2 linked regions of the Coturnix japonica genome follow. The protein of the gene in region 1 interacts with the protein of each later gene in a pairwise test. Links are inferred from orthologs where the notes say so. Each region holds a gene or a part of one and is shown on either strand. Other genes may lie near its edges.

Region 1 (4,006 bases):
CCCCATGGGCCGTGATGCTTCCAGGAGCAAGGACAGGAGCTGGACATCTGCAGGAGCTGTAGTGTCCAGGTGAGCACCCAGGTAAGCGCGGAGCCTTGTGCGATGCCCCGCTGGATTTTACAGCAGAGGTGGCACTTCAAGGCAGCTGCCACGTGTGGGTTATGGCCTTGCCCCTTGCCCCCACCTCTCACAGGAAGATGTTTAACCCCAGCCCCTCTGCCCAACATCACAGAGGCTGCTTAATGCACAGCACAGTTGGGAACGTGCTCGCTGCTGACCAGAGCACAAGGAGGGCAGGGAGTTGCACAGCCCCTGGTCTCCTTTTGCAGCCGGGACAGCTGCAGCGCAGTGCTGCAAGGAGCCGCTGTTGGTGGCTTTGCTCTGCCCCCTGCTGGGGACAGGACGAGGGGAGGGGGACAGGGCAGGACGATGCACGGATGCAGCCACACAAAGATGCAACTGCAGGTCAGAGCTGCTCCAGGAAGGACCCAGCACGGGCTTTATTTTCCAGAACAGGAGCAGGACAAGCCCTACTGCTGTCCTGGGTGCCAGGGCTGTAGGGCTGCCCTGACACAAGCAGCGCAGGGAGCCCAGCCCAGCCCCGTGGTTACAGCACCATGAGCAGTGGGATCCCAGGGCTGGATGCTCCCAGACCCCTGGACGTGCTGCTCCCAGCTGTGCAGCAGCCCCCAGGAGCCAGGCCAGGCTGTGGTGCTTCCTTCCTTCCTCCCCTCACTCCATCACTGCCGGCTCCTGCCCCTCCACGTCCCGTGTCTTGGAGTTCACCAGCTCCCTGCGGATCTCGGCTGAGATCTGTGGGTGGCTGTGGAACTTGAGCAGCTCGAGCAGAGCTTCCTTCTGCTCCGAGGACAGGTCCTCCTTGTAGCGCTGGGCAAGAGCCAGGAAGCTCTGGTGCCACAGCACGGGCAGCGTGCGCTGGTCTGTGCGGAAGGCCAAGAAATGGAAGACCAGGGCATCCACCACACGGAACGGCAGCGCGTACTTCTTGTCGATGAGCAGCCGCAGGAAGATACTGTTGGCACCGTTATATGGCATCTCAGCAATCTTCAGCATGGCTGCACTGTGGGGACAAGGGGAGCAGCAGGTGAGGGCAGGGCACAAAAAGGACGGCTTTGAATCAGCCCTGAGCAAAGCTCCCCCACTCTGAGCTGTTGGATGGGCTGAGGGGCAGTGACTGCCCCAGTGCATTACCTGGAGTGCAGGACAGGGATGGAGCACTTGGTGAGGATGCTGCCGATGATAATGGCCTCCCGCAGTGTGCAGGTCCCCGATTCACACAGGGGGATGAGGATCCCTGTGGGGAGAGAAGAGCTGGGCACCACTGGTCATTGCAGCAGGCAGAGCTGTGGGGTGTGAGGCTCAATCTCTGCTCTCTCAGGGCACATTTAACCCAAGGAAATAACATCTCTGCATCATGGGCACCTTTCCACCTTCCTCCCCCTGCCCTGCCCTGCAGCAGGTTCCCAGGGGTGGAGTGCAGCCCTGCAGGGAGCCCCTACCTTTGAACCAGGCTCCTGGCTTGAACAGAGCCTTCTTCAAAGCCATGTAGAGGTGGAAGTTGAGGCGCTTATACTCAGCGATATCATCTCTGACCCGTGGCAGCAGCACCAGGTTGTAGAACCTCTGGGCCATCCTCTCCTTCAGGTTGGATGAAAATATCCTGTGAAATGCAAAGCATGAAGAGTGAGCTGTGACTCCAGAGCCATCCACCCCCAGCATCAGGATCCCCTCTGCTCCACAGGCACAGGGCAGGAGGAGCAGCTGTAGGACACACGATGGTATTTTGTCCATCTCGTTCCATTACAAGGAGAAAACAACAGCTCAGAGCACACTGAGCTGGTCCCACCTCGTGGCCTGGTACATCGCTGCTGCCGTCCACGTCTCGGGCTCCGTGATGTAGAGGATCTGCTCCCAGTTGGACAGGGCAGGAATGATTTTAAATGCCTTGGGGAGCTTCCCACTCCTGTATTTGGACAGCACCTTCAATGGAAGCAGAGGGGGAAGGGTTTGTCTCAAGGCTGTAAGCAACCTGTCTGCTCCCTGTGCAGCTCCACTGCGTGTGCTCACACAGCACGTATGTGCTCACAACACCCGAGGGACACAGCAGTGCTGTCTGCACTGCTCCGCCGGGAGCTGGGGGGTCCCACAAAGGTGTGTGTGGGGCCGGGGGGGCCGCAGTGCCCTCACCTCTCTGACGCCTCTGTACACCTCTATCACGCGGGGGTCGAGCTGGGGCATGGGGCGGCCCGACAGCTCGGACAGCGCCGTCTGCACCTCCGTCTGCTTCTCCGTGATCTTCTCCATGATCACATCCGCCAGCGTCCGCCTGGGGGGGCGGCAGGGGTCGGTGATGGGGAACCGGAGCTCCCCGTCCACCCCCCGCCCATTCCCACCCCTCCTCCGGTACCTGAGCGGCGCCGCGCGGTTCATGAACATCTCCAGGGCCTTCTCGTCCTCGGGATCCACCTGCACGTCCCCCCCGCCGCCCGTCCCGTCCCACTCCGCCGCCCGCTGCAGTGACGGCCACTCCTCGTCCTCATCGTCCTCCTCCGACCCGCGCCCGCTCGGGGCTGTCGGTGCGGGCGCCCCGGGGCCGTGCTCGGCCTCCAGCTCCTCCTGCTGCCTCCGGGCCTCCCGCAGGATGCGCCGGGACAACCGCGGCCCCACGTATCCGCCGTCCCGTTCCTCCGCATCGCGCCCCGCGTCCCGCGCCCGCCGGTTCCGCACCGTGGGGGCCGCAGCCCGCAGGATCTGCTCGTGCAGCGGCTCCGCCACACGCGCCGCCTTCGGCATGGCCGCAACAGCGACACGCGATCAGACGCGCCGGCGCCAGCACGGCCAGCCCCGCCCCTTCCGGTACCGGCACCGCCACTGCCGGGACGGAGCCATGGGGGTGACCTGGTGAGGGGCCGGTGGGGATGGGGTGATGGATGGGGTGATGGATGGGGTGATGGATGGGGTGATGGGGTGATGGGGTTGGGGCTGGGTTTGGGTTTGGGTTTTGTGGAGGCCCCGCGGCCATTTTTGCTGTTTGTCGCCCCGCAGCGTGACGCAGGTGCCCGTGTTGGAGGGTAAGAGCGTGCAGCAAACCGTGGAGCTGCTGAGCAAGAAGCTGGAGCTGCTGGGAGCCGAGAAACACGGAGCGTTCGGGGTGGACTGTGAGACGTATCACACGGCAGCCGCCATCAGCAGCCAAGGTGGGAACCCGGGGGGGGCGGGTGTAGTGCGGACATGGGGCATCTGCTGGGCTGGTCAGCATGGAGAGGAGAAGGCTGAGAGGGGCTGGGGGCGCTTATCAACCCATACGAATGTTTAAAGGGTGGGTGTCAAAGGAACGGGCCAAACGCTGCTTTTCTTTCAGGGCAGACGGGCAAACTGATGTACGTGATGCACAACTCCGAGTATCCCCTCAGCTGCTTCGCTCTGTTTGAAAACGGGCCCTGCCTGATCGCGGACGCCAACTTCGACACGTTGATGGTGAAGCTGAAGGGATTCTTCCAGAACGCCAAGGCAAACAAGATCGAGAGCCGGGGCACGCGGTACCAGTACTGCGACTTCCTGGTCAAGGTGGGAACCGTCACCATGGGCCCCAGCGCCCGCGGGATATCCGTGGAGGTGAGAATCACCTTTAAGGGTATGAAATCCAGGGCAGGGAAATCCCATGTTGGAGGCTTGGCTAGAAACCTTGAGTCCCCATCCCTTCCATGTATCATCTGTGTTACTCGTTGCTGGCAGGTTGTATTAATGCATTCAATGCCCTCCTGCTGCAGCTTTGGCTCTAAAGCTGCTTTCTCCTGGTCACAGAGCTCTGTGCTGTCAGTGCTGCCCCAGATCTGAGATGAGGTGCTGAAAGGTCTTGTAAAATCTGAGCATGTGTTTCCCTAAACACACAAATCCTATTAACTGGTCTGTAATTAATAATGATGGCGCATCTACCCAGGCAGGTGTTCCGAGCTAACAGGGATGGGATTGAGAAATGCCTTGG
Region 2 (2,933 bases), on another chromosome or scaffold:
TGGGAGTAGCTTTTCAAATGCCTCTAATTCACAATGCAACTGAGAGATGGTTTTATGAGTACCAAACTGATTTCAGTGATTCTTAGTTTCTTCCCCACAGCAACAGCCTGAAGTCAAGGACTTTAATTACCTTTGTCCTCATGCTCTTGCTCTCTTCCTCGGTGCCTCAAACCCGACTGAAGATTTGAATATAAGCTTTATATCTCTAATAACAAAATCATCAAGATATTTCAGAACTGTCAGAATAAATTTGTATTTTTTTCTCGCAGCAGAGAATAGTCTTAGAATGTATGAAACTCATACTTGTTTTCAATAGGAAAAATTATAATAAGTCCATCTCAATACAAAATATACTTGATTTACCATGGCAACAAATACTCTGAGGACATTCTTTTAGACATTAATCTTCTACCATTAATTTACACTTTAGTCCAGAAGCTTTTAAACAAAACTTTGACTATGTGAGCAACTATTCAGAGCTGTTGACTCAACGCACGATACTCTGCATTTTCAGTTTTTCTTACTAAATATTTTATTGCCTTTGTGGACATACACATGTGCAAAAAGGAAACCACAGGTACATATTTCTATCAAAAGCAGGTACATATTTTTATCAAAAGCATTGTTAACTGTTAAGAATATGAGGACAAAATGAAATACATATTTTAATTCCCACTGATTTACATCCACGTATTGTTGGCTCCTTAGGGTATTTCTCTACAAACGCAGTTCCACTGACTTGAATGTCAATACAAATGGAATAAATGACTTCTGTCTTCTTGAGTAGCACCAAAGCAGTCAAATGACGGTGCCAGCTCAACCTCCGCTCTTTTTTCTCCCGCTTCAACTTTGAATACTGGGTTGTTTGAGAGACTCTCAAGCAAGCGTAATACTGATATCATCAAGACATCACTTAATATCAAAATATCTTCTAGTTTAGAAGACCAGTGTTCTTCATGCTTCCATGTTACCACAGACAGGCACTTCAGCTAAAGGGATTTCCTGTATCTGAAAACTGTTATCTGTTTAGCTTCTCTTTGTGTAAAAAGCTCATCTGGCACAGAAGCATTTCCCACAAGGATATAAAAGCTTGGAAGCTGAATTTCTATTGTTGTTTTGTTATGTATCAATATAAACAGTACGAAATGTTTGGGTATTTTTTTAACGTATAAAATTAGTGTGCAAAAGTTCAGAAGAGAAAAACTTCATTGTGATTGACAAGATGACTCTGCACATTTAGACAGAAATTCTAAATACAAAATACTTGAAATGCTTAAATATGGTTGTTAAAACAGCTATAAATACGACAAGAATTATTTAAAACAAAAAAAAAAAAAGTCACTAACTTCTGAAAAAATGTCCTGCATTAATTCAAAGGATACCAATAGATCACAGTGTAACAGGAAGTCACCTAGAAATATTAGAGTTGGAAAACTTCCAGCTATAATCACTCTCCAGACCTTATGAATACATCTTTCACTGACAATGCTCGGTGGTTTCCAGGGCTGCAAATGTTCTATTCCCTCCTCATCTGTCAAACCAACTATGGGCAAGCTTACACAAAAGGAAAGATTATTTTTAAGCTTGAAAAGGGCACTGAAATGACATAAAAATGTTGTTTATTCTTCAGGTGCAGAAGATGAAGAATACACCTGGATTTTTCTTTCCCCAGAAGAGATTTTCTAATGATGAGAGAAAATCCTTAACTTTTGTAAACCAGTAAAACTGAATGTTAATAAATGTAATCCTTCATGCTATTAAAATACATATAAAAACTCCAAATTAAAATCAATGCTTATTAAAAGTCTGTTGATGGGGTAATCCTTCCACTAAAACTGCTTGTGGGGATGTGACACCACAGGAGACTAAAATGCTTTCTTTGTCTCCCAGCTGTTGTCTTCTTACACGTGCTTCCACAGAGGGCATCTGCATGCATCTCTTTTGCTGTCTGATACATCAATTGGCAGAAGCATGTATTTGAAACCTAAAAGTATGGCAGTTTTTAAGTTAAGATCTTCAGTGGCTCAATTTAAAAAGAGTCAATGTGATGGCTCCGTGTTGCAGTTGTGGGCACTCAAAATGGAGACAAACAGTCACCTGAACACAAACAGCAAAACATGCCTGTTACGCTTTAAGGTGCAGCTTACTTCTGTTAAGACCAGTGACAGATGGAAATAAAGTTGAAACAGAAGCTAGTTTTGCATCCTGCTCCTGGTACCAGGCTCAGTATTTTGTTGCACAAGCAGAGCAAAAGTCTCTTCAAGTATTTGCATCAAGCAGGCCCTAAACTAGTTAGAATTCCAATCTCTGGATTCTGTGGTGTATTCTGTCACCACAGGCATTAAGCATGCACTGCCTGCAGACCACTTTGACTCATAAGAACAAAATAACCTCTTGAAATTTGTTGTTTTCCCTAGGGCTCTTAGCCTGTCCTTCATTCCTCTTTATTGACTGGAACAAGTATCATTGCACAGCAATCTTCTGAGTCCTTGCACCTCCAGTTACAGTAAGAGAGTGCATTTCAATTAAAAATAGTTTAAAATAGTTTTATCAACACTTCCAGTAGGCCATAAATAGAGCAATTTTTCAGCACATTTAGGAACATGCTACCAAACAAAACAAACTGCACAACAGTGCCCACAATTATGGGCGTTGTCATTAAAGAAAAATCACTGAAAAGAATATCTGATTTGAAAACATTCAAGTTGGTCCACGATTGCTTCAGTAGGATCATCACCTTTTGCAAAACGAAATGCAGCAGCAGAGGATTGTCATGAGGGGGTGTTTTCTTCTGTATTCTAATGCTTTTTTTATTTGCTCTTTGGATTCTCCTACATAGTCCTCAACATTCTGCACGTTTATCTCAATGACGTCAAAGGTGTCTGCCTGTTCTTCCACTAGCAGGGCCACCTGCAGAAAGAGCTCGTGAATCT

What was found. The genes of interacting proteins can lie anywhere in the genome.
Region 2: the proteins of BYSL (region 1) and STX11 interact in binary tests that used the Homo sapiens proteins (3 or more experiments, as listed by UniProt). The two-hybrid records come from large-scale screens. The link is inferred for Coturnix japonica from reciprocal best matches to the Homo sapiens genes BYSL and STX11.

What each region holds. Positions count from the first base shown.
Region 1 is NC_029541.1:4,735,864-4,739,869, reverse strand, and holds BYSL (bystin), read right to left. Parts: upstream 2,815-4,006; coding exon 2,429-2,814; intron 2,348-2,428; coding exon 2,209-2,347; intron 2,002-2,208; coding exon 1,868-2,001; intron 1,682-1,867; coding exon 1,521-1,681; intron 1,316-1,520; coding exon 1,213-1,315; intron 1,082-1,212; coding exon 733-1,081; 3' UTR 467-732; downstream 1-466. Other genes in the region: MED20 (mediator of RNA polymerase II transcription subunit 20), read left to right, coding at 2,813-2,922, 3,067-3,218, 3,383-3,636. UniProt on the Homo sapiens protein: Required for processing of 20S pre-rRNA precursor and biogenesis of 40S ribosomal subunits. May be required for trophinin-dependent regulation of cell adhesion during implantation of human embryos.
Region 2 is NC_029518.1:41,283,857-41,286,789, reverse strand, and holds the end of STX11 (syntaxin-11), read right to left. Parts: coding exon 2,734-2,933; 3' UTR 508-2,733; downstream 1-507. UniProt on the Homo sapiens protein: SNARE that acts to regulate protein transport between late endosomes and the trans-Golgi network.